Linked DNA regions of Xenopus tropicalis. The protein of the gene in region 4 interacts with the protein of the main gene of each other region in a biochemical or structural test. Links are inferred from orthologs where the notes say so. Each region holds a gene or a part of one and is shown on either strand. Other genes may lie near its edges.

Region 1 (2,528 bases), on a different chromosome or scaffold from region 4:
GGCCAATATATATTTATCCTGGAAAATCCTCCTTTTTTCAGACATAAGCAGAATGGTCATAGCATTGTGCAACCATAGCTACATTGTCCTCTAAAAAGCCAAGGCAAGTGCATTAAAAGGCAAGAATAATTTCCAAATAATATGGGATGCCTAAAGGTGGCTATACACTGATCCGCTTGTTTGGCGAAGTGGACAATATTGGGCTAATTTGATTGTTTGGCCCTAGGGCCAAAAAAACAGCGGGTATAGTGTCACATACGTAATAAATACCTTTAACAGTAACAAAATATGAAAATAAACTCTATCCATCGAGTGAGTGAGTAATATTACTCACCCACTCGACGGGTATTGGGCTTGCATGACTCTGTCCTCTAGCAGTGATTAGGTACCTCTCTTTTCTCTCTTCTACTTACTGTAACATGTCTGATGTTGCCCCGTTACACTTTGATTTCTTTACTGATAATTAGATTTTAGTTTAATATTTCGTTACTGTTATAGGTATTCGTTATGTTTGTGACACTCTATAACCACCTCTTAATCTGTAGTAGCTTGGAGTTTCAAGATGATCAGATATATGTTCTTTGCACTGTCTATCCTACTGCTTGTGTACAGAGGTTTCCTTGATATATATATATATATATATATATATATGTATATATATATATATATATATATATATATATATATATATATATATATATATATAAAGAATATGTATTAAATGCACTGCTATTTAGATATGTGTGTAAAATGTATCTAACTAGCAGTGTTTTTAATAACACCACATTCCTGATTCTATCTGCAGTAGGACATAGTGCCCTTTTGCAGCGGTTTGCTGTAGAATTATGCAGTATATTTTCATTTCCTGTTTTTATTATCTCGCTGGCTATCAAAAAGGCTATAATACAATATTTATAGAACTGTCTATAACCGCAGCAGCAGCTGTTTTTTTTTTGTTTTTTTTTTTTAGAGCAAGGTATTTCCAGTCAAATCACATATGAACTGTAGTTTATCAGTGGCCCAATAACACACCCTTCCTACAGTTGCAGATTATGCATTTAAAGTGGACCTGTCACCCAGACATAAAAAGCTGTATAATAAAAGTCCTTTTCAAATTAAACATGAAACCCAAAAATAATTTTTTTATTACCACATCTATACCCATTATAAAAGCATTTTAAAATCCCAGCTGTCAATCATATATTGCCTGCCCCGCCTCTATGCCTTAGGCATAGAGGCAGGGCAGACACTTACTTTCACTTTCAATTCAGAACTTCTTAGATGTTGCTGCTCTCCTCACATTCCCCCTCCCTCCTCACCATGTAATTGTGTAATCAGTGCATGGATATGGGCATCAGGTCCCTCCACACTGGCACAGAAACAAGATTTTGGCAGGATGCAATGCCTGCTTTGATAACAGTGTCCACAAAATGGCCCCCGCCTGCTTACTGCTATTGTGAATTCCAAGGCTGAAGAAAATAAGATTAAAATAATTTATATAGTGTAAGTAAAGTTTATTTTGCTTGACAAACACAATAGAAAACAATTTGAAATTATTTCTTAAGGTGACAGGTCCGCTTTAAGTAGGCTTCTAATATGTAGAATCACTTGTGAGGTATAATTCATCACATTTCAGTTTATTGATCTTGCGCAATAAGTTTTTCAATAATCATTTTGTATGTTCTACTTCACACAAGACTAACAATATTAAGTCGGTGTTGCTTTATGCGTTATGTACATTGCTATTTACCTTGGAATTTATTAATTTCATTGCAGTTCCCGTGTACCTCATGGTGGCTTTGCATATATCATGGGTGGAAGTGGGCTACAAAATTTCACCATAGCAGCAGTAGCATATACACCAAATCTGTTGCCAACGTCAAGCACATGGTAGGTATAGATATGAACAGAAAGTACCAGCCGGATTTATATATATATATATATATATATATATAATATATTATAAAAAGTCCTCACGACAGCACTTCATTCCAAAATGCTAGTAGATAGCCGCCCTTGTGCACAGAATACAAAATAAAACACAGCCAGCACCATAGTTCAAAACAATCTTAATTGTATTGCAGGCTGTATATGCACATGTAAATATACTTTTTTGATTTTGTTGCAGTGTTGCTGGTCTTTTTTGTATGATATATATATATATATATATATATATATATATATAGATATAGATATAGATATAGATATAGATATAGATATAGATATAGATATAGATATAGATATAGATATAGATATATATATAGATATATATATAGATATATATATAGATATATATAGATAGATATATAGATATATATAGATATATATATATATAGATATATATATATATATATATATATATATATATAAAAATGTAAACTCTCCAGTGGAGAAATAAAAGTCAGCAGGGAACTTACAATTTTATGCCCAATTCCAAGTACATGGATCTTGGTGTGGATTGGCAAGCCACCATACATCTACTGAAAGTTGTGCAAAATAATATTATAGCTACTTTAGGCTTAAGATAT
Region 2 (3,500 bases), on a different chromosome or scaffold from region 4:
AAGCAATGCAGGAAATGCCTTCTGCACAACCTAAATCCTCACCAATATTGAATTTATTAAGATGTTCAATCTCAGAGGCAAAACATTTTGGGGGTAATTTTGATGTTGAGGCATATTTTGCATAATTCAGAAACCTTCCTGTGTTACCCTACGTATTTGTGTGTGCTGTCTGTAATTGATTTGTATGGAGACTATCACAAGCTGGTAAAGGCACTTTACTATAACAGGTATAGGAATCAATTTAAGCAAGTAATTCTAATTTTTTTCCCTTTTCTGAAATTACAAACCAGTTCCTTGTATTTTATCCCAACTAAGATGCACAAATTATAGAAATAATACCAGATTCTGAGTATTGCAGATAATGTATCAAAACCTATATGATAGTTGTCCCATGGCGCAGGTTGCATTTCCGCAATAAAGAATTTTTTAAGGGCAAGGCCCGTATGTAGCTCTTGAGTGCCGTTGCTGTTTGCTTGTTTGGAATCTGTGGGGAGGGTGCCGATCCCTCTCTAGCATTGTGCGCCGAGCGGTGAGTTTCCGTTGGAGGGCTGAGGGAGTGCGGGTTTGGATTCGTTGCTTGCCATGGCGCAGGAAAGACATCATTTACATGTCTATGAAGATTTTCATTCATCCAGGTCATGGTATATCTAGTATAAATAAATTTAAAGCAACTGGACTTGTTAGGTAATCATTGAAGACATTTCCTGTGCCATGGGACAACTATCATATAGGTTTTGATCCATTATCTGCTCGGATGAGTAGTGAAACGTCTTCAATGATTACCAAATAAGTCCAGTTGCTTTAAATTTATTTATACTAGATACATCATTTACATGTTTTTATGCAAAAATATTTTCTATACAAAAGCAACACTTTTTGACCAGTCATATGTTAACAGCTAGCTGTTTTATCAGTAACAGTGCAATTTAGAGTAAGGTCAGTTCCAAAATGAAGCCAAGTTGTTTGCTCTATAATTTAAAAAGGAACAGTAACACCAAAAAAATGAATGTATAAAAGTAATTACAATATAATGTACTCTTGCCCTGCACTGGTAAAACTGGTGTGTTTGCCTCAAAAAGACTACTGTACTTTTATATAAACAAAGCTGCTTTGTAGCAGTGGGGGCAGACAGGTTTGGGCCAACACACAACTTATCCAGGTCGAGCGTGGGTTCTGGCCGAGCCACCGGCAATGGCTGTTTATATATGCGAACCTGCCTCACTTTTCCCCCTCCATGATATTAGAGATGGGGAGGGCATGTGTATATAAATGGCTGCAGAACAGAAGTGCGGGTTGGGTGCTGGTTGGGAGAGGGCGGATTAGGGTCTTGTGCGGGTTAAATTGTGTGAGGGTTATATTTTTCATGCAAAGCCCATTTGAAATCTTCCTACATCATCTCGGATGAATTTAGATTTGGACTTTGACTTGGCCTTTCCAGAATCCTTCATTTCTTTCCACCTTCATGCTTTACAGTTGGTATCAGGTTCTTCTAGTAAAGCGCTGTCTCCTGGTATTGTGGCCAAATAATTTTACCTTTGCCTCATCTGTCCAAAGGTTCTTGTCCTTGTCAAATTAGAGTCTTACCCTGATATTTTTTCTGGACACCATAGGTTTCCTCCATGCACACTTCCCATGTAGATCTAATTTACACAGTATTTGACATCAGTAGTGGTGAGGGGGCTACCTTAGGTCCCATGATAAAATTCTGGTGTTGTGAGCTTCGTTCAGTATTTTGCCTTCTGGGCCTGAGCCGAGAACTGCCAACTTGCTTGGGCCAGACCAAGTTGGCAGTTGATTGAAATGTTCTCCAGTTGTGTATGGTGTTCTGGATAGTGGAATGATTGATCATTTTAAACCCTACTATAGAGGGTCCATCCAGACCCATGGCAACAGGGGACCCAAGGGGGGGGGGGCGGCATGGGAGACATATATATATATATATATATATATATATATATATATATATGTGTGTGTGTGTTTTTTTGACTAGAAAATTAACACTCTTTTACACTTTTTGTCTAGATCGGACTTTTCTGCAAGAATCATGTCTGATAACGGGGAGCTTGAAGATAAGCCGCCAGCTCCTCCAGCTCGGATTAGCAGCACAGGGACAAAAGATCCTCTGACCAGCAACCACAGTCATAAACCTTTACCTTTAATCCCTGAAAAACCCAGGAATAAAATTATTTCAATGTTTTCTGGCACAGAAAAAGGTAGGATATATCAGTTGGTTTTCTCCTCATAGAAGTCTAATTTTAGAGTGCATGCCTATTTTTTATGTAACTATGAAGGGAACTATTATTTTGTGTGTGGAAGTAATACATATAAACAGTACTTAAGTGGTATAATATGTACATTGCCAATACCCCTTCCCAAGTTAGAGGCCTTCCTCCCCATGAACACAAGCATGTAGTACCAACTAGCAGCTGGTTAGGTTTTGCTAGTACAACAGGTTTTTTTTTTTTTTTTCTTCTTCAATTACAGCTACTAAACTTGAAAATAATGTAACTGAATAGCTGAGATGTAGCTCTATATGAAACTGATACTGCAACTGTTAAGGTGGCCACACGTGGCGATTTTTGATCTTTCGTGCATCGAAAGATCGTTCCCACCCTCCACAGACGTTCAGGGCTGAATCGTCAGATACGGAGGTAGAAAAAATAGGATTTTTACCTCCTTCTGCCGATTCAGCCCTGAAGGTAGATTTTGCTCAGGCGTCTTCAATGACGCCCAATCAAAATCTTTTAACCCGCCCGATCGGCGAGTTGACCGATATCGGCAGTCGTCTGTGATATCGGTCACCTCGCCGACTAGCCAGCTTTAAGGGCCCCAATGGGAATTTGATTTGTTTAGGGAAAATGTCTTGTCTCCAAAAGTTAAGGGCCAGTGATCATTGGTCCGTGGAGCCCAATAACTAGTTATTACACTGCTGAAAAGTTCATGTAGGGGTTACTCATAATTCAAAATTAGTATAGATCCCCTTAAAATCCCCTTTCTCCTTGTAATAGCAGTAAGTAAGATAGTGATGTGCACTTTACCGGATTAATAATTAACGGACCTGGTAAAGTGTTTCCATTTTTCCACAACAAATGGTTGTAAAAGCTATAGAGATTTTTGCATGTATGCCATCCCCTAAAATTAACTTTTAAGGCTGTGGGAGGATGCTCAAAGGAGTTTGTTCATAACCTCCTGAGGGGAAATTTTGTTTAAATAATAGACTTTAAAGCTAGCAGTTAGGCAGATTTTTTTTTAAAGGAAAAGGTTGACCTTGATGGGGGGTATGTAATTTTTTTTCCAACCTAGATTACTTTGGTTATCCAGAAACAAATGTTTTAATGGTGAGACTTGGTTAAACAGCAGTTATAAATAACTATGAGCTATCACCTGTAAATTACATAAGCAAGCAGTTTCCCACAGAATTCCACTTCTTGTGCCTGCAACGGGACCCAACAACTATTTCTCTGAAGTTATCAAGTATGGACTCTCCCAATATGTTTTAC
Region 3 (3,500 bases), on a different chromosome or scaffold from region 4:
TTTGTCGTGCGGCGACTAATCTCCCTGTCTGTCACAGCCCTTAGCCTTTTACTCACTAGCCACGTAAGATGCTATCATCGTAATTTAAGACAATGGTAACCATTTGCCCAGGTGTTGAAACCCATAATAGCCAATCAGATGTCTGTTTTCAAACGGGTGACTAGTAATTGATAGCTGCTGATTGGTTTCTATGGATTTGCACCTTTCATTACATTAATTTTTAAGGGCTCTGGTACACGGTGGGATGGCATTCGCGGCGGCGCGAACGCCGAAGTTGCCTCTCGTTGCCGCAAATCGCACCGCCGCGTATGCCATCCCAGTGGCGATATTTTGTCGCGGGCGACTAATCTCCCCGTGTACCAGAGCCCAAAGTTGTGCATTGCTTAGCAATATGTTATTCACATAAATTAGCAAAGAACCAGTAAATGTAAAATCTACAGTGCTTGGCTGTCGGGTTTATATTTCATCTGTGGCAGTAGATGGTTAAAACAGTATTATGTTTTTGTTTGGAAAGTTCTTATACTAAAATACTATGCAAAATTTTTGACTCCCTGTTCTGTGCTTTTCTTTCTTTTAGGATGCTGTGTCAGCGGCTACTGATGAAGAGAGACTGGTGAAAATTCATGATGTTATTCAACAGCTTCCCCCACCTCATTACAGGTTAGTTCAAAGACCCTAAGTCTGTGTGTGTGTTTAAGGTGGTTTTCGTTTATGCTTTATATCACAATTTGATAATCAAGAGGGTTTTTAACCATTATATACTTTGAGTTCTAAGCACATGTAAGATATTACAGTCTAGTAGAGTTGAGCCTTTATTTTGACTTTTTCTTTTTGCTCACATAGCATAAAGGAATGTTTAGATAAAACATGATCATGAAAAGGCATGATTGTTAAGGCCTTTCATCTACTGTTGTTACTGTATGTCTGCTTTTCTTAATACTGCATACATAGGCACAACATTCCTGTACTAAAAGTCCCCCATTCCCCTGAATTAATTGCCAAATCACTAATTTTTTACTGTTATTTTCTAATATTTGAATGGGCAAATGTCTTTAGTAAGAAAAAGCAAGCTTTAACAAATCAAGTGGGTAACTGTTAATGTGGTCCTTTAGACCAATTCAGCAGCTTATCTGCCTGTGTATGGGCATGAACGACAGGCCTGCCGTCTGACATCTGGCCGACATTGCCAAGCGAGCAGATCTTACCATGTATGGCCAGCTTTAGAAAACTTCTTTAGTATGGTACTTAGCTCTAGTGCTTCAGCCCTCCCAAGCATTGCTTGCTTATTGAGTGCATCTTGCTTCTCTTACCTGGCAGACCCTGTGTTTGCCCTGACCAAGAATGAAATTGGCCTGGCGTCTGACCTTGTTTTCTGCTTTACAGTAGGAGTGGGCAGAACGGCAGAGAGACAATTCCTATAACTTGCTTGTGGTTAGGGCAACAACAGACCTGGTCAGAGCAGGGTACTGGGCAGATGCTAAGTTCAGTGCGATTATAATTTTTTTTTTACTAGTCATGAAGGCAAGCTTCTAAACCTTTCTGTATATCAGCAGATAAGTAGAAGAGCCAGCCACTACACAGTTTAGCTTTTTAAACGTAGCAGGTCTTGTAGTAACTAACTTCCAAATTTTGTAGAAGGCATCCAAGAAATTAAAGAATTTAGACAATAGACAATAATTTGCCATTACTGGGCACATGGAACAATTAACATTTTTAAAGAAATTAGAGACTAAAATAGACAAAAGTCACTCCTAGTAATCCTCAGAAACATAGCAGGCAAGTTTTACTTGCAACTTTCAAACCTAATTGCTGATGGGATGAAATATAAATATACAGTATATTTAGTTGAAAACATGCTCAATTTATTCACATTTAGGAAACCAAGAACTTACTTTTAAAATGCTGCTAAATATTATTAGTGGACTGCTTTTCCATTACACATTTGTATCCAAAATAACTATTTAGATTTTTCAGTGAATGCACACTAATAATATTTCTTTAGATGTATTGAGAATAAGAGTTTATTAACACAGAGAACTAAATACATCTGTTGATAGAACAATCCCTTTTTTTGGCATGCATTAAGATTTGGTTGTGTACATTATGTCATTGTCAATTTTAATCATACATAATTATACCTCATCATAACATTGTCATAAATCATAATTATATATTGATCACTTTAGGATCTGTTTTTAAAACACATTGATCAAGAAACACAGCAGCCTTACTCATACCGAAAGATTTTGAATTATTCTTAGACTTGCTTTATTGCTAATGCCCTTCACTCTGACGTGACTTTTCCCACTGATCCCCATTACTGTGGGAGCAGCTCACAATGAAAAGTTTTAAATATTACAGTTACCAGGATAAAGAAATGTTATTATGAACAGCTTATCTGGACTGAATCAGGGTAGTGACTATAGGTCAGATTTGCACAGGTCTACAGCATGGGGCAGCTTAATACATAACTTGCCCACATTCTAATAAATATGTTTCTAATAATTCAGTAGGAATGAATAGAACATGGTTAAGTTTGTATGTGTTACGCTCTAAACTCACATTTAGATAAGTCTGCCACTATGTGTTTGTGTGCTATGACAATATCTATGGCTTGTGCTGTTTCCCACTTATGTTGAACCTTAAATCATAACTTTTTATTTTTTTTATTTAAATAGAACACTGGAGTTCCTTATGCGCCACTTATCAAGACTTGCGACATACTGCTCTATCACCAATATGCACACTAAAAATTTGGCAATTGTCTGGGCCCCTAACCTGCTCCGGTATGGTACCAAAGATCCTGGTATACTGTAGAGAGAAAGATAGGAGGATATACTGTACATCTGGTCTTTTTTTGTTTGTTTCTTTTTTTAAAGTGACATTGTTTTAAGTTATATAATATAAGAATAATAATAATACTGAAATATTCAGTTTTTTTTATTGAAGTATTTAATCCTGGCACATTAATATTTTTTCGAGACACGCTTTATAGTAATAACAGTTTTATATCTTGGGGTAAGTATGAGCCATCTTTCTCAAAATCATTCCTGAACAGTTTTCAAATGCATACCCTAAGCCAGCGCTGTCCAACTGGTGGACCACGACCCCCCTCTGTGTGGCCCCCCACCTTTCTGGCTGCTTTGATGGCTTACCTTTGTGTAAGCTTTAAATGGTATCATTACTGGCTCAGGCTGTAATCACCCATATTGTTCAACTGTTCACACATCAGACAGACTGTAGGAGCAGTAGAAACTCTGCACACTATAAAAAGAACATATACTGATGTGGTACTGCAATTAGAAAGTTTTTTAATACATAGTTATTGTGCAGACTGTAGGAGCAGTGCCAGCATTGTGTCACTGTATGCTGCCTGTGTGTGCCATACTCTGCCTGCCCTATGCTGCCTATGTGTGCCATACACACAGGCAGCATAGGGCAGGCAAAGTATGGCACACAGGCAGGGTAGGGCAGGTAGAGTATGGCACACACAAGCAGGG
Region 4 (4,060 bases):
TTTTACAATTATTCCATTAAAATAAATGTTTTTAGAAACTATAGCATAAGAGAACTGGCTAAGGAGGCAAGTCACGTTTCTTGGGGGTCAGTCACTCTTTTTGGGACCCCACCACTCACAGCGAGTGCCCCCCTTCCCATGTCTAACCTAATTATGACCCCCCCATTATTGGAAGGGCCTAAAACCCACCTAAAATACATGTAGCTTTAGGGCCATGATAAATCTCCATTGTCACGGGCAACTAATCTCCCCGCAATGCCATTCCACTGGCTAGAATGTACATCACCGGTGGCGTGATTTGCCGAAGTCGCCAAAGCTTTCTCTTAAGGCAACTTCGGCAAATCACGGTGCCGCGTATGCCATCCAACCGGATTTACATTTACATTCTAGCCAGTGGGATAGCATTGCGGGGAAATTAGTCGCCCGCAACAACACAGATTTGTTGCAGGGCGACTAATCTCCGTGTGTCATGGCCCTTAGGATAAAAACATAGGAAGCTACTTAGTAGTAGCTATTGTCAGGGCTACTAAGCGCCAGAATATACCCTGCCATAGACAATACTAACAGCTGCATTTGCAAAAACACAGAGGCAATTATCAAGCATTGTCTATTTTTGTATTTTTCAGGGCCGCCGCTCCCTATAAGCAGAGTACTCAGTCTGCATAGGGCACCAACTCCCAGGGGGGCACCATCCCAGCTACTCCAAAAAAAAAAACATTTTTCTATATTATAACTTACTTACTATGGGGGCATTGTCTATGGGGGCAATTGGGGGCACTGTGTGTGGGGCCCCCATAGTAGGTGTTTTTTTTTATTTTATTTTTACTTCCGTAATATTTGGGAGAGGGGGCACAAAAGTAAATTTCTGCTTAGGGCACCCATTTGGCCAGCAGCGGCCCCGGTATTTTTGTTTCTTCCCCCTGAGGCAGGGGAAAGAGAGCGCTTTTGCTGGTCTGCCACATATGTTACAGAGAAAATAAAGGTAAAACTGACACATCTTTAATATTCATGTTAATACTTAAAAGAACCCTGGAACTACCCTTCCACCTCCCATAACTCTCCGCCGCCAGCCAGTTGCCCGACAGAAGAGCTAAGGGAGTGACGTCACTCAATGCGCGCTCCCGACTCCTGGGCGCGCCCCACTCGCTCCCGCGGGCTTTCGAGGCGAGGCCGGAAGTGACGCAGGCGGGGAAGCTTCCTGTTATCTCGCCGAAGAGTTGATTTTGTCGGGCGCTGGCTGCTCTAGGTTTTTCCTTCATAGACGCTGAAGGGAGAGCAAAGGAGAAGGAGTCGTGAGTGAGAGAGAGAGGGTGTGTTCTGAGCTACTGAAGCCCTTTCGCGGCCTAGCTTGCTTGGGCCATACGTACAGCCTTCATCTGTATCCGCTTTTGCGCCCGGGCTGCAGGGAGATCCGCTGCCAGCGCAGCCATGCAGGCCATTAAATGTGTGGTCGTGGGAGACGGGTAAGTGACGGGCTTCTATCGCTTATTTTTAATTCGAATGAATGGGGTTAGACGCTGAATCGCAGTGTGTCGCGTCTGGCCTGGGGCTCTGGGGATCTACGCGTTCTTCTGCGGTGGAATTTTCACCTTCCTCGGCTGGAACTGTGGCATGTCAGCCTCATAGCGGCCCAGCTGCTGGGGACTACAAGACCCGCAGAGGATGTCGGATACTGTAGTTCATAACAGCTGGTTGGACTCATTTCGTTCTTCATTGGGTTTCTTAGATAAATCTTTCTGCAGGTCTCTGATTACTAGATATTTATTTGGGGTTTCATTTTTACTGCTGCCCTCCAGCTGTTCCCTGGGTGCTGGGGGCACAATTGGCATAAGGGTCCATGTTTGTAATATATTGTAAATGTGTCAGCAAATTATAGTGCTAATATTATATAAAATGGATAACGTTTGGGCCAAGGTGCCTTCGTCCGCAGTGATGAGTCTTAAATCCTGTAGTGTAAAAAAAATAATAAAAATATATATATATATATATATTAGATGTCCGGTTACTAACTGATACTCATCAATATCCAGCAATCAACCCAGGAGCGAATGGAAAGATACGTCAGGAGGGACTATACAGTTATACGGCCACCCTCCCATTGTTACGATTGGAGCACCAGGAAGTAAAGCGCCGTTTCATCTCCCCTTCACTTCCTCATGTGCTGATGCGCTGTGCCCCCCAGTATATGTATACAGAATATAGAGCAAAACCCTCTCAGTTCATATGGGCTGCTTTACATTCTTGGATTTCAGTGCCCTAAGGCTATAGCTGCAGCATGGAACATGTTCTAGATTGATGCTTCCTGCTGCAAGGGAAGAAGAGTCCTCCTATGCCAGAGGCAGTGTGTGTTCTCCCAGTAATCACCGTTGCTAGAGCCTATTTCCCTTGAAAAATGGTAGGAAAAACACTGTTAGATGCATACGTATGATTATGGTCAATATTATAGACCAGATCGGCTCATGTTCCTCACTCCATGGTTAGATATATTGAAACTTCACTGGGTAATGTACTTTAAATCTTTCCTTTGCTATTTAAGCTGTTATATTTTCTACTTACTATGGTTTCTCTCTTTGTCCTGGGCTTTGATTTAATAGACTGTAAATTTGTCCATTCAAAATGTTATTGTATAGTTCCAGCATCAAGTGGACATGTATGTATAACTTTATTTATAAAGCGCCACAAGGGTACGCAGCGCTGTACAATCTCACAGAATACAAGGGAGGACAAGTGATATAATAAATAAATACAATTAATATATATATATATATATAAGTGCCATGAGACACAGTAGGAAGGAGGTCCCTGCCCCGTAGAGCTTACAATTTAAGTACACAGTAGGAAGGAGGTCCCTGCCCCGACATGTAAACAAGACATTCATTTAGACAATATTCCTTTCTAGTATATGAGGGTATTTTTAAATGTCTTCTCGTCAGTTTAAATGCAGGGTACATGTGCCACAAATGCCTCGGTCACATGAATTGTATTTGGCTGCATCCATAATGCCGCATTATGTGTTTCATAGGGTACCACTAGTGGCAGGCAGGCATGGGATGGTGCCCCCGAGAGCTAGGATAAATAAGGTTATTAGAACAATTGAAAATCAGGACCAGTAATAGGAAACCCAACTTGTGGGGCAGCACTGATGGCATTTCCTAGCACTTTAGTAACTTGCCAATCAGTTCAGCTCTGCTAGTTGGGTATTTTGTATGTTTCCTGATTTTTCAGATCATTTGATAATCTTAAGGTAAATTTTGTATGGTGTTTGTGCAGTGTAACTGTATTGCTGTCAAAAATATTATTTATGTGCCAGTCAATGGAGTGCTGATTGTTCTTACACAGAGGTTGTCCATCTCTTTAGGCAAACTTGGCTAAATTACTACATCTATATGCTAGAGCAGGGATCCCCAACCTTTTATACTAGTGAGCCACATTCAAATGGAAAAAGTGTTGGGGAGCAGCACAACCATGAAAAAAGGTTCCTGGTGGTGCAAATAAGAGCAATAATTGTCTATTTAATAGCCCCTATGTGGACTGGCAGCCTACAGAAGGCTCTGTTTGGCATTATACTTGGTTTTTATGCAACCAAAACTTGCCCCAAGCCAGAAATTCAGAAATGAGCACCAGCTTTGAGGCCACTGGGAGCAACATCCAAGGGGTTGGTGAGCAACATGTTGCTATGAGCCATTGGTTGGGGATCACTGTCCTAGAGTTTCTTTAGCATCATTCCCTTATACTTTTTGGGTGTTACCATGTTGTAGCTATGGTGCCCTCTGTCCTCACTGTTCCCCAGTTCAGTTATTGCTCTCCCAATCACAAATCTTCTTCATTTTCAGTAAACAGCAGCTTAACACCCAGTACCGATTTGCTTATGGCTGCATTGTGTATATTCTCTTTCCTCATTAAGACTATCAATCAGACAATTATTTTTTCCTGTGGACATGGCGACTTGTTCAGCATATTATTAGGCAACTTGGTGGCCAAGCTTAACTTGTGTATCATTTTGTCTAAAAGACGCACAAGAAAAAGGCACACAAAATAGAAAAACAATTGTTTTTTTGTT
Region 5 (3,973 bases), on a different chromosome or scaffold from region 4:
GCCCCCACCCACCCTACTGCCCCCACCCACCCACCCTACTGCCCTAACTCCCTGCTGCCCCCACCCACCCACCCACCCTACTGCCCCTAACTCCCTGCTGCCCCCACCCACCCACCCACCCTACTGCCCTAAACTCCCTGCTGCCCCCACCCGCCCGGTACCTGACACACACTCTCACACACACTCTCACACTCTCACACACTCACACTCTCACTCACACACACTCACACACACTCACACACACTCACACACACTCACACACACTCACACACACTCACACACACTCACACTCTCACTCACACACACTCACACACTCACTCACACACACTCACACACACACACTCACACTCACACACACTCTCACACACACACACTCACACACTCACACACACTCACACTCTCACACACACTCACACTCACACACTCACACTCACACTCACACACTCACACACTCACACACACTCACACACACTCACACACTCACACACACTCACACACACTCACACACACTCACACTCTCACTCACACACACTCACACACACTCACACACACTCACACACTCACACACACTCACACTCTCACTCACACACACTCACACACTCACTCACACACACTCACACACACACACTCACACTCACACACACACTCACACACACACACTCACACTCACACACACTCTCACACACACTCACACACTCACACACACTCACACTCTCACACACACTCACACTCACACACTCACACTCACACTCACACACTCACACACTCACACACTCACACACACACTCACACACACACACACACACTCACACACTCACACTCACACTCACACACTCACACACTCACACACTCACACACACACTCACACACTCACACACACACACACACACTCACACACACACACTCACACACACACACTCACACACACACTCACACTCACACACTCACACACACTCACACACACACTCACACTCACACACTCACACTCACACACTCACACACACACACATACTCACACTCACATACTCACACTCACACTCACACAGTACCCCGGTACCTGACACACAGACGCCGCTTCCGGTCACATGGGGGGAAGGTCACAGGGAGATAACGCGAGAGGAGGGGGAGTGGCTCAGGCGGATCATGTGACCTTGCTGGAATCACGTGACCGGGGCAGCTGAGAGAGAGAGAGAGAGGGAGGAGCCGCGGTACCGGGTAACACTGGGGGAACTGGAGGGCACCACGAACCGGAAATACCGGGACCCCGGAGACTATGTAAGGCCCAGGGTATCCCCTGTCCTACCCCCCTGTCCTACCCCCCTGTCCTACCCCCCTGTCCTACCCCCCTGTCCTACCCCCCTGTCCCACCCCCCTGGGGCAATCCCTGTCCTACCCCCCTGTCCTACCCCCCTGTCCTACCCCCCTGTCCTACCCCCCTGGGGCAATCCCTGTCCTACCCCCCTGTCCTACCCCCCTGTCCTACCCCCCTGGGGCAATCCCTGTCCTACCCCCCTGTCCTACCCCCCTGTCCTACCCCCCTGGGGCAATCCCTGTCCTACCCCCCTGTCCCACCCCCCTGTCCCACCCCGGAGACTATGTAAGGCCCAGTGTATCCCCTGTCCCACCCCCTCTGTCCCACCCCCTCTGTCCCACCCCCTCTGTCCCACCCCCTGTCCTACCCCCCTCTGTCCCACCCCCCTGTCCTACCCCTGTCCCACCCCCCCTGTCCTACCCCCCCGTCCCACCCCCCTGTCCTACCCCCCCTGTCCCACCCCCCCTGTCCCACCCCCCCCTGTCCTACCCCCCCCTGTCCTACCCCCCCCTGTTCCACCCCCCTGTCCCACCCCCCTGTCCTACCCCTGTCCCACCCCCCCTGTCCCACCCCCCCTGTCCCACCCCCCCTGTCCCACCCCGGAGACTATGTAAGGCCCAGTGTATCCCCTGTCCCACCCCCTCTGTCCCACCCCCTCTGTCCCACCCCCCTGTCCTACCCCTGTCCCACCCCCCCTGTCCTACCCCCCCGTCCCACCCCCCCTGTCCTACCCCCCCTGTCCTACCCCCCCCTGTTCCACCCCCCTGTCCCACCCCCCTGTCCTACCCCTGTCCCACCCCCCCTGTCCCACCCCCCCTGTCCCACCCCCCCTGTCCCACCCCGGAGACTATGTAAGGCCCAGTGTATCCCCTGTCCCACCCCTCTGTCCCACCCCCTCTGTCCCACCCCCCTGTCCTAACCCCTGTCCCACCCCCCCTGTCCTACCCCCCCCGTCCCACCCCCCCCTGTCCTACCCCCCCCTGTCCTACCCCCCCTGTCCCACCCCCCCTGTTCCACCCCCCTGTCCCACCCCCCTGTCCCACCCCCCTGTCCTACCCCCCCTGTCCTACCCCCCCTGTCCTACCCCCCCCTGTCCTACCCCCCGTCCTACCCCCCGTCCTACCCCCCCGTCCTACCCCCCTGTCCTACCCCCCTGTCCTACCCCCCCTGTCCTACCCCCCCTGTCCTACCCCCCCTGTCCCACCTCCTGTCCTACCCCCCTGTCCTACCCCCTGTCCTACCCCCTGTCCCACCTCCTGTCCTACCCCCTGTCCTACCCCCCCTGTCCTACCCCCCCTGTCCTACCCCCCTGTCCTACCCCCCTGTCCTACCCCCCTGTCCTACCCCCCCGTCCTACCCCCCCGTCCTACCCCCCCGTCCTACCCCCCCGTCCTACCCCCCCTGTCCTACCCCCCCTGTCCTACCCCCCCGTCCTACCCCCCCTGTCCTACCCCCCCTGTCCTACCCCCCTGTCCTACCCCCCTGTCCTACCCCCCCCTGTCCTACCCCCCCTGTCCTACCCCCCCCGTCCTACCCCCCCCCGTCCTACCCCCCCCTGTCCTACCCCCCCTGTCCTACCCCCCCCTGTCCTACCCCCCTGTCCTACCCCCCTGTCCTACCCCCCTGTCCTACCCCCCTTGGGCAATCCCTGTCTGTTACTGTCATTGGTACCTACCCCCACCCCGACAATATCTGCCCGGGGTACCTACCCCCCTAACTATAACTGCCCAGGGTATCTACCCCCCTAACTATAACTGCCCGGGGTACCTACCCCCTAACTATAACTGCCCGGGGTACCTACCCCCTAACTATAACTGCCCAGGGTACCTACCCCCCTAACTATAACTGCCCAGGGTACCCACCCCCCTAACTATAACTGCCCAGGGTACCTACCCCCCTAACTATAACTGCCCAGGGTACCTACCCCCCTAACTATAACTGCCCAGGGTACCTACCCCCCTGCGTGTAATCACTGCCAGTACTAATGAATGGTCTGTGTAATGGCCTGTTACTGTCATTGGTACCTACCCCCCCCCCCCCACCCAAAAAAAAATATCTACCCAGGGTACCTGGGACAGACACAGGGAAAGGGACAGACACAGTGACAGTTACACATAACTATAAACCCAGTGAGAATGAGGAATGAATGGATATTGGGGAGTTGTATCAGGAGTCAGAACCAGCAGTGCAGGGAAGGGAAAGGGACAGACACAGTGACAGTTACACATAACTATAAACCCAGTGAGAATGAGGAATGAATGGATATTGGGGAGTTGTATCAGGAGTCAGAACCAGCAGTGCAGGGAAGGGAAAGGGACAGACACAGTGACAGTTACACATAACTATAAACCCAGTGAGAATGAGGGATGAATGGGTATTGGGGAGTTGTATCAGGAGTCAGAACCAGCAGTGCAGGGAAGGGAAAGGGACAGTGACAGTTACACATAACTATAAACCCAGTGAGAATGAGGGATGAATGGATATTGGGGAGTTGTATCAGGAGTCAGAACCAGCAGTGCAGGGAAGGGAAGGGACAGACACAGTGACAGTTACACATAACTATAAACCCAGTGAGAATGAGGAATGAATGGGTATTGGGGAGTTGTATCAGGAGTCAGAACCAGCAGTGCAGGGAAGGGAAAGGGACAGACACAGTGACAG
Region 6 (3,500 bases), on a different chromosome or scaffold from region 4:
ACCTTGCATCCTTTTTCCTGCCTTCCAGCTACCAAGTGAGCACGCACACGTAGGGAAGACAGCCAGTGTAAAATTGCAGCTTAGGTGCCAATCAAAAAAAATTGTGGTCAGGTCATTTTCTTTATTCTTCTACAGACAAAATTATCCTCATATGTATACCTCATAATCTTATAGGGATACAATTACTTGCAGGCTATTAATGCACTATTACAGAACCTTATATGCAGTACCACAGGTGCTTCATGTTTTGAATTTTGCTCTGCATATAAGATCCATGCATTGGAAGTAAATAACATCCAGAGTTGATGAAGGCCATACATGGCTTGCAGTTCAACTGATCATCCTGCAATCTTTTATGTGCCTGTGCACCATGCTGGTGAGTACATCAGCAGAAGAGAAAGTGAATAAATGCCATAGCTCCACTTCACTACCTGCAGTTCAGCCCATTGGCTGGAATGTGAAGGTGACTATACACGTGTATCAACACTTGATCAGTATCTCTTCATTCGGCCAGTGTATAGTCAACTTTATTTACAAGTAGTTTTCAAAGAGCAATTGCACACAAGCCTATTTTAGGCTCTTTAGTGCCATGTTTTTTCAACACTTCTTAAGGGATAGTATTCTGGAAATGCAAAGAGTTGACACAATTATGCGATTAACATAAAAATGTATGGTGGGCTGCTTTGAGAGCTTTCAAGTATAAGGGGACTGAATTTAAGGGGTACCAAAAAGTAGGGAACTTAAAGCACCCGACATAGCCTTTTATGTATGAAAATGCCATATTTTTAAACTGAGCATAATGCACCATCAGCAGCTCTATAAAAGTAATGGACAAATTAATAACATATATATCATAAGACTATGATATCAGTTCTAAACAGGCACCAATTATTAGTTAGTATTAGTATTACTGGTTGTATATATATAGTTTATGTATGTGAGTGTATAGATTGGTTAGTATAGGTTGTGTGCTGGGTTTACTCGGATGGGTTGAACTTGATGGACAATGGTCTTTTTTCAACCCTATGTAACTATGTAACTATATGTAATTACCTCGCTTCCTGCACATTGTATCATAACCTGGGACATGTATATAACTGTGCCTAATGTCTTAATGTCTTCCCCCTCCCATCCACGAATGGTTTCTGTCAGGATTTGCAGCTCCAATTCTTTTCTTTTTCTTACTTCTTGACACTGCGCCTATAGAAGCAAATAATGGTTATTACTAAACTATAAATAAAACCCAGACTTCAAATGCTTATGTAGCACCAATTTCTTACTATAAAGTGCTAAGATAATTGATGCTTCAGTGCACAGAGTAAAATAAATATTGTAATTAAATAATGGAATTAATTTATTGCTCTATACATAATCAGCAATAATTCATAATAATGCCCCATATTCTGTTCCTGCTAGAGACTCCAATTAAATAAACAATTAATCATTGAAATTAAAAAAAACATGAAAGGAAATAAGTTATAGAGAGGCACATGAGATGTGAAGATTACTTGAAACTTGCTTTATTGCTACATAAGATTGAGTTTGGTGCCGGGTTTACATTTTTACTTCTATGAAGCAGTGTTTTAATGTTTGTGCTTTTTCTTAGATTATAAAAATTCTACTAAATAGTAGCAGGTGTTTAAAGGTGAAGGAAAGTTAAAATCACTGGGGGCTGCTGAATATTAGCCACCACCCAGTCATTATAATCACTTATCTTATATTCTAGGCCGGTACCCTGGGTAACCTCTGTATGAGCACCAAATAGCGATCTTTTTTTCCCCGCTTCTTTTTTCTGTTTCCCCAGCACGTGTATAGTAGAGAAGAGGTATTAGGCACCCACAGTGATCACTGGGAGTGCCTAACAGTTGGCACTCCCAGTAATTTTAACTTTCCTTCTCCTTTAAGGACACAGGGTGCTAACATGGCAGGTATTGGCAGGTGATGAAGTGTCCACCAATACCTGCCCCTAAACCTTCCCTAAAATTTCCACATGTAAAACACATTACATGTATCATTCCCTAAAAATCTAAAAAATGCCTTCTTCTGCATTTTTGGACAATTCCAGGGAAAGTGAAGAGCCAGGTGTTGTTGAGCACTTCATCACCCATGGGAGAGGAGATTTCCAGCCAGGTGACGAAGAGCCCCATCTCGAAAACCTTGGTTTTGTAAACATTATTTGTTGTTATTTTTTTTGCCAATATATTTATTCGTACATATGTTATTCAGCAGCATTCATGCTGTGAGTCGCAGAAAGGTTTCACCTGATCTCGCAGGCTGATATCAGCAATCTAAGGCTGATGCCAGACGCAGGCACATGTAGCCAATATACGCATGAAAACACGAGACTTTGCATTATCTCGCGTTTTCATGCGGATATCGGCTACATGTGTCTGCACCCGAGCGTATCTCATTCATTTGGGTGCAGGCACAAGTAGCAGGCGTAGGGCTGTATTTTCGCCAAGCGTTTTTCCGCTTGCCGAAAATATCAGCCCTACGTCACGTCTGGCATCAGCCTTAACAGCACGGTTGCACTGTTTTTTTTAGTAGGACAAAAAATGCTGGATTAAAAAAAGCATACTAACAAACAAAAAAAGTACAAAACCTACTTGTGAAAAAGTAGTAATTAAGCATGAACTACACCCTGTGGTAGCCAGATGTATAAAAGGAAATATTTCAAGAACAAGTCCAGTGTACATCATATCACCAAAATAAAAATAAATGTAAACTAAACACATGGTATACATTCAAAGCCTGACTCTTTCCCTAAATATATAGATGATTTTATCTTACAGAGAGATTCTTAAATGCAGTCATAGACTTCTGGATATCTGGTCGATCTGGGTGATAGTCCTGAAACAAACAGGTACAAAAATAAACATCATACTTTTTTCTCAGACAAGCAGTAAAAAAGCATAAAGGGCCACAGCACCCTCAAATCTTCAGCACAAATGTTTGCTCAAAGCAGATAAATACTTACGCAAGAATACATGTATGGAATCTTTGTACAGGCTATAAGATAACCCAGGGAGTAGTGCTTGGTAAGAAGAGTTCAATTTACATCTTGTCAATGACCCCAATAATATAATGCCCCACCCCATAACCAACTGTCGACACCCCCACCTAGAGGGAACTATATTGCAATACAAAGAACAACATAGCTGCTGTGATTAATCAGACACAGTACTCCTCTAGCCAGTTTTATATTCTGCATTACTTCAGTCAATCAAGTAGAGTTTGATCAATCAAGTGGTTGGCCCTTAATAATTAGAAAGAAGGCAAACTGGAAGGACCATGGACTTTGTATATTCAAATTGCCTTTCTTTACCCACTAGGAAGGAAGTTGAAATGTTCTTGGTAAATACTGGTGTTTTACCTGTCACCCCAATAAAAATTAACAGATCAATACAAGTGCAGTCATTTCTCATATAAACAGAGAACAGATATGCCTGAACAGTGAGGCTCTAGTCATAGCCACTGAAGATTCACTGAATAAAATCAGT
Region 7 (4,257 bases), on a different chromosome or scaffold from region 4:
GGCCAAGTTGGGTCTGTTTACGCTGGAGAAGAGGCGCTTAAGGGGTGACATGATAACTATGTAAAAATATATAAGGGGATCATATAATAAAATTTCTAATGTTTTATTTACCAGTCCGTTTAGAAGAAGGGAGGTTCCATTTAAATATTCGGAAAGGATTTTTTACTGTGAGAGCTGTGAAGTTGTGGAATTCCCTCCCCGAATCAGTTGTACTGGCTGATACATTATATAGCTTTAAGAAGGGGCTGGATGGATTCTTAGCAAGTGAGGGAATACAGGGTTATGGGAGATAGCTCTCAGTACAAGTGAGAGAATACAGGGTTATGGGAGATAGCTCTCAGTACAAGTGAGGGAATACAGGGGTAGGGGAGATAGCTCTCAGTACAAGTGAGGGAATACAGGGTTATGGAAAATAGCTCTCAGTACAAGTGAGGGAATACAGGGGTATGGGAGATAGCTCTTAGTACAAGTGAGAGAATACAGGGGTATGGGGGATAGCTCTCAGTACAAGTGAGAGAATACAGGGGTATGGGGGATAGCTCTTAGTACAAGTGAGGGAATACAGGGTTATGGGAGATAGCTCTCAGTACAAGTGAGATAATACAGGGGTATGGGGGATAGCTCTTAGTACAAGTTGATCCAGGGACTGGTCCGATTGCCATCTCGGAGTCAGGAAGGAATTTTTTCCCCTTTGCGGCAAATTAGAGAGGCTTCAGATGGGGTTTTTTGCCTTCCTCTGGATCAACTAGTAGTTAGGCAGGTTATATATAGGCATTATGGTTGAACGTGATGGACGTATGTCTTTTTTCAACCCAACTTACTATGTTACTATGATTGGGTAAAATGTGTTTATTATGTTGTTGATGGTATCTTCACAATCACTTAATAAAGTTTATCAGTTTTGAAGATGCATATCTGGTCATAAATGTGTCAATAAAAATAAACGCCATAAAGCAAAACTATTCGATAACATGAATATTTGCAATTTTAGCAAACGGACGCCTTAGCCCATAAAAACAGGTTGTTTTTACTTCACAACCCAGAAAATTTTCTGTGGACGCCCATGGATCCCCTTTACATCATGTCTCTGGGTACCCCCAGTGCTTGCTATTGTACAGGGGAGGACACAGCCCATTCTGTTTATGGTCTCTGAGGGTAACTTTGCCCCAGAAAGGTGCCAGTCTCCCAGATGTGACTGAGCTGCTGTTCTGCTCAAGGATGATAATGAGAGCTGTCAAACATGAGGCACCCAGGGCCCCTCAGTTGTAACTTGAGCCTCCAGTCCTGGGGGCAGCAATGGAGCCACAGGTAGAAGATGCGTTTAAGCAGGGGACGGGCCCCACCTCTCAGCAGGCTACCGCACCAGAACCATCTCCCGCTAAGTGGGTGCAGCCTGAGAGATCGCTAAGCTGGGAGGGGGCGGCCCTCTCCGGAGCTGTCAGTGCTGCTGTGCCACAGGCTGCCATGCAGGAAGGGACAGGAGCCTTGTAGTGTGTGTCCCAGCAGGGAGCAGCGCCCACTGGCACCGTGACACCTGCCCAGCGGCGGAGCACAAGAAGCAGCAGCAGCGCCAACGTCATGTGAGCGAGCAGGAAGTGCTGGGAAAGTAGTGGGTGGCTGGCTAGCAGCGGCGGCGGCTTACTGCCATGGGCTAACGACGCTCCTCTACACTTCTGCTGTCCAGCACTGGGATGGCTGCTTCCAGCAACTCCAGCCTGTCCGGCTCCTCTGTGTCCTCAGGTGAGAGCGGGATTAGTGCGCGGTTCCTGACAGCTTCTGTCTCCGGGGAAATGATTGCTGTCTCTGCTCCGTTCTGTGACAAGTGCCTTCATTTTCCTACAGGAGGCTGCTGCTGGCTCTAGGGAGCGCTCACATGTGAGGGGACATTAGGCACTTTCCCTGCACATGGCTTCAGCTGCCTACTCTTCTGTCACTCTCCCAGTGCCAGTGCCATTGGTGCGTCAGACCTGTGGCTCTTTAGCTGGTCATAAACTATAACTCTCAGCACCACAGGACTACTTGGGAGTCCTCATTTATCATAAGCTGTAGGGTGACAGGATGGATGGACATCTCTGCCCTACCAGTCCCCTAAAGGTGTGAGGCATAAGAGTAAGGGGGTACAATGTAATTGATGCACAAAGGGGATATTAAAGTCACAAGATACAGAATCCACCTATAGTATAGGCTGCTACTGAGGTGTGACAAGGGATAATGATTAAATCAAGTTTAACGGAAACGTTTCCTATTATATGATCATGAAAAAGGCCACACAAAGCATTGCAAAAAGGACGAAATCAAATATAAGCACCACATATCTGATTTTGTCCTTTTTGCAATGCTTTGTGTGGCCTTTTTCATGATCATTATGCTAGGAAATGTTTGCTCAGCTCATTCATGTCATTATTTTGCTGCACTTGTCCATCATTTTGTAAAGAATTTCCAAATGTTCCTCTGCATTTATTGTTGCGTGTCTTGTGTTCAAAAAAGTTCTGCTGCATTGGTCGCAAAATGTGTTGAACTTGCAGCCCAGGCAGTTGTTTTGGAGGAAATATTAGATGTGATAATCATGTTGGGAAGTAAACAAATGTGTCATACTTTATGGGACGGTGGATGGCAAGTATACACACTTGGCAGATCACCTTGCATGCCTGTACAATGGACTGAGGATACAGTATAGGAGATCAACTTGTACACCTGTTGCTTTAGGGCTTAACTACATGGGAGATTTTGAACAGATTTTGTGGGTCAGACTTTATATGACCCATAAGATCCTACAAAATCGTATTCCCCTGGTTTAACGTAAAGGTGACCATACACTGGCAAATTTCAGATTCAGACTCGATTGGACAGGTTTGATTTTTCCTTCGGAGCGGGGAGCACGTCTGCTCATTGATGCAGATCTCAGTCTGACAGTCCATATAGCAACCGTTTTAATTTGATCATTTGGCCCTAGGGTCATACGCAGGGGCTCTTCTGCCATTAGGCGAGTTGAGAAACTCGCCTCAGGCGGCAGAAGCGCCCCACTTACCAGGGGCGGCAAAAAGCTGGAAATTCGGCAATTGCGCTCTCCGCACTAGCGAACTCACCGCCCCCGGACCCACTCCTGCGCTCAGAAGGTAAGCGCTGGGGAGCGGGGGGGGGGGGGGGGCGGCATCCAGGAGCCGCCTCAGGCGGCGATATGTCCAGAATCGCCCCTGGTCATACGATCAGATTAGCCCAATATTGGCCACTTTAGGTGGGCATATCGTAAGAAGATCCGCTCATTAGTCAACCTCGCCAAATGAGCATATCTTATCGTGTATGGCCACCTTAAGTCGGATCAGATAAAGTGTGTTTTGTTTTGCATTTACGTCCAATGGCAGTCAGTGTATTTCAATGAGAAAAAACCTTTCAGACACCATCAGCTTTTATCTTGTAGGATGCAGATGCAGCATGTAGCATTCTTGTGTGTGACAAACCTAATGTGTTCAGTGGCAAATCTTTCATGTTGTTTACACATCAGATTTTTCTATCCTCCCATTATTTTTTGACCCATGCAACTAAATATAATTTGTATGCAGTGATCTGTCCATCCAACAAGATCCTACAGAATCTCCTGTGTAGTCTCTGTTGTGCTGAAGATGGAAGTATTCAACTATGCTGTTTCATCCATTGTATATGATTATTTCTATTAACCCTGATGTATGGTACAGCTCACTTATGCATATGCTTTTGTGTGTCAGTTTCGTAGTCTGTTTTATAATGTTTCCTGTTTGTGGTCAGCAGACCACCACAAGCATACTAGCATACATATATGTATATATATATAGTGTGTGTGTTTTATTTTTACAGAAGCGTGGGAGGGAAGGACATGTTAAAAAATACAGTTCAATAATAGGTGCTATGGAAAATTTGACTTCTATTTCTTTTACAAGTGAATGTCCTGTAGTATCACAGTACACAAGAGGTCTGTAGCCCCCAATTGGGAATCACTGATCTGTCTTTGCTTTATATTTCTAGGTCTCTAACACTTGGGCATTTTTTGTGCATTTATATGCTTTTTTTTTAAACTGCAACCAGGGTTGGACTGGGGGGTGCAGGGCCCACCGGGGCTACCGCCCAAGGGGCACCGCACCTCCCCAGGTTCCCCCCAATGCCTCAGCCCAGTCCGACCCTGACCGCAACGAATTAGTGGGTTGAGTGAGTTACTCAACCCACTAATTTCTTCTTTTCTGAAAAATGCAGCAAGTTGTGTTTAAAATACATAATGAAATTTGA

Evidence for each region.
Region 1: of the proteins of rac1 (region 4) and hace1, one has a biochemical effect on the other in vitro, tested with the Homo sapiens proteins (5 studies listed by BioGRID and IntAct, with this or other methods). The link is inferred for Xenopus tropicalis from reciprocal best matches to the Homo sapiens genes RAC1 and HACE1.
Region 2: the proteins of rac1 (region 4) and pak2 form a complex in vitro, tested with the Homo sapiens proteins (2 studies listed by BioGRID and IntAct). The link is inferred for Xenopus tropicalis from reciprocal best matches to the Homo sapiens genes RAC1 and PAK2.
Region 3: of the proteins of rac1 (region 4) and arhgap32, one has a biochemical effect on the other in vitro, tested with the Homo sapiens proteins (3 studies listed by BioGRID). The link is inferred for Xenopus tropicalis from reciprocal best matches to the Homo sapiens genes RAC1 and ARHGAP32.
Region 5: the proteins of rac1 (region 4) and arfip2 form a complex in vitro, tested with the Homo sapiens proteins (2 studies listed by BioGRID and IntAct, with this or other methods). The link is inferred for Xenopus tropicalis from reciprocal best matches to the Homo sapiens genes RAC1 and ARFIP2.
Region 6: the proteins of rac1 (region 4) and arhgef7 form a complex in vitro, tested with the Homo sapiens proteins (2 studies listed by IntAct). The link is inferred for Xenopus tropicalis from reciprocal best matches to the Homo sapiens genes RAC1 and ARHGEF7.
Region 7: the proteins of rac1 (region 4) and chn2 form a complex in vitro, tested with the Homo sapiens proteins (2 studies listed by BioGRID). The link is inferred for Xenopus tropicalis from reciprocal best matches to the Homo sapiens genes RAC1 and CHN2.

What each region holds. Positions count from the first base shown.
Region 1 is NC_030681.2:80,251,619-80,254,146, forward strand, and holds part of hace1 (E3 ubiquitin-protein ligase HACE1), read left to right. Parts: intron 1-1,776; coding exon 1,777-1,890; intron 1,891-2,528. UniProt on the Homo sapiens protein: E3 ubiquitin-protein ligase involved in Golgi membrane fusion and regulation of small GTPases. Acts as a regulator of Golgi membrane dynamics during the cell cycle: recruited to Golgi membrane by Rab proteins and regulates postmitotic Golgi membrane fusion.
Region 2 is NC_030681.2:129,792,990-129,796,489, reverse strand, and holds part of pak2 (serine/threonine-protein kinase PAK 2), read left to right. Parts: intron 1-2,022; 5' UTR 2,023-2,044; coding exon 2,045-2,213; intron 2,214-3,500. UniProt on the Homo sapiens protein: Serine/threonine protein kinase that plays a role in a variety of different signaling pathways including cytoskeleton regulation, cell motility, cell cycle progression, apoptosis or proliferation.
Region 3 is NC_030683.2:72,452,810-72,456,309, reverse strand, and holds part of arhgap32 (rho GTPase-activating protein 32), read left to right. Parts: intron 1-577; coding exon 578-660; intron 661-2,678; coding exon 2,679-2,786; intron 2,787-3,500. UniProt on the Homo sapiens protein: GTPase-activating protein (GAP) promoting GTP hydrolysis on RHOA, CDC42 and RAC1 small GTPases. May be involved in the differentiation of neuronal cells during the formation of neurite extensions.
Region 4 is NC_030685.2:25,457,283-25,461,342, forward strand, and holds the start of rac1 (ras-related C3 botulinum toxin substrate 1), read left to right. Parts: upstream 1-1,260; 5' UTR 1,261-1,428; coding exon 1,429-1,463; intron 1,464-4,060. UniProt on the Homo sapiens protein: Plasma membrane-associated small GTPase which cycles between active GTP-bound and inactive GDP-bound states.
Region 5 is NC_030678.2:180,359,225-180,363,197, reverse strand, and holds the start of arfip2 (arfaptin-2), read left to right. Parts: upstream 1-1,173; 5' UTR 1,174-1,273; coding exon 1,274-1,275; intron 1,276-3,973. UniProt on the Homo sapiens protein: Plays a role in constitutive metalloproteinase (MMP) secretion from the trans Golgi network. May have important functions during vesicle biogenesis at certain cargo subdomains, which could be predominantly utilized by secreted MMPs, such as MMP7 and MMP2.
Region 6 is NC_030678.2:116,924,943-116,928,442, forward strand, and holds part of arhgef7 (rho guanine nucleotide exchange factor 7), read right to left. Parts: intron 2,851-3,500; coding exon 2,791-2,850; intron 1,201-2,790; coding exon 1,054-1,200; intron 1-1,053. UniProt on the Homo sapiens protein: Acts as a RAC1 guanine nucleotide exchange factor (GEF) and can induce membrane ruffling. Functions in cell migration, attachment and cell spreading. Promotes targeting of RAC1 to focal adhesions. May function as a positive regulator of apoptosis.
Region 7 is NC_030682.2:43,310,564-43,314,820, forward strand, and holds the start of chn2 (beta-chimaerin), read left to right. Parts: upstream 1-1,457; 5' UTR 1,458-1,691; coding exon 1,692-1,740; intron 1,741-4,257.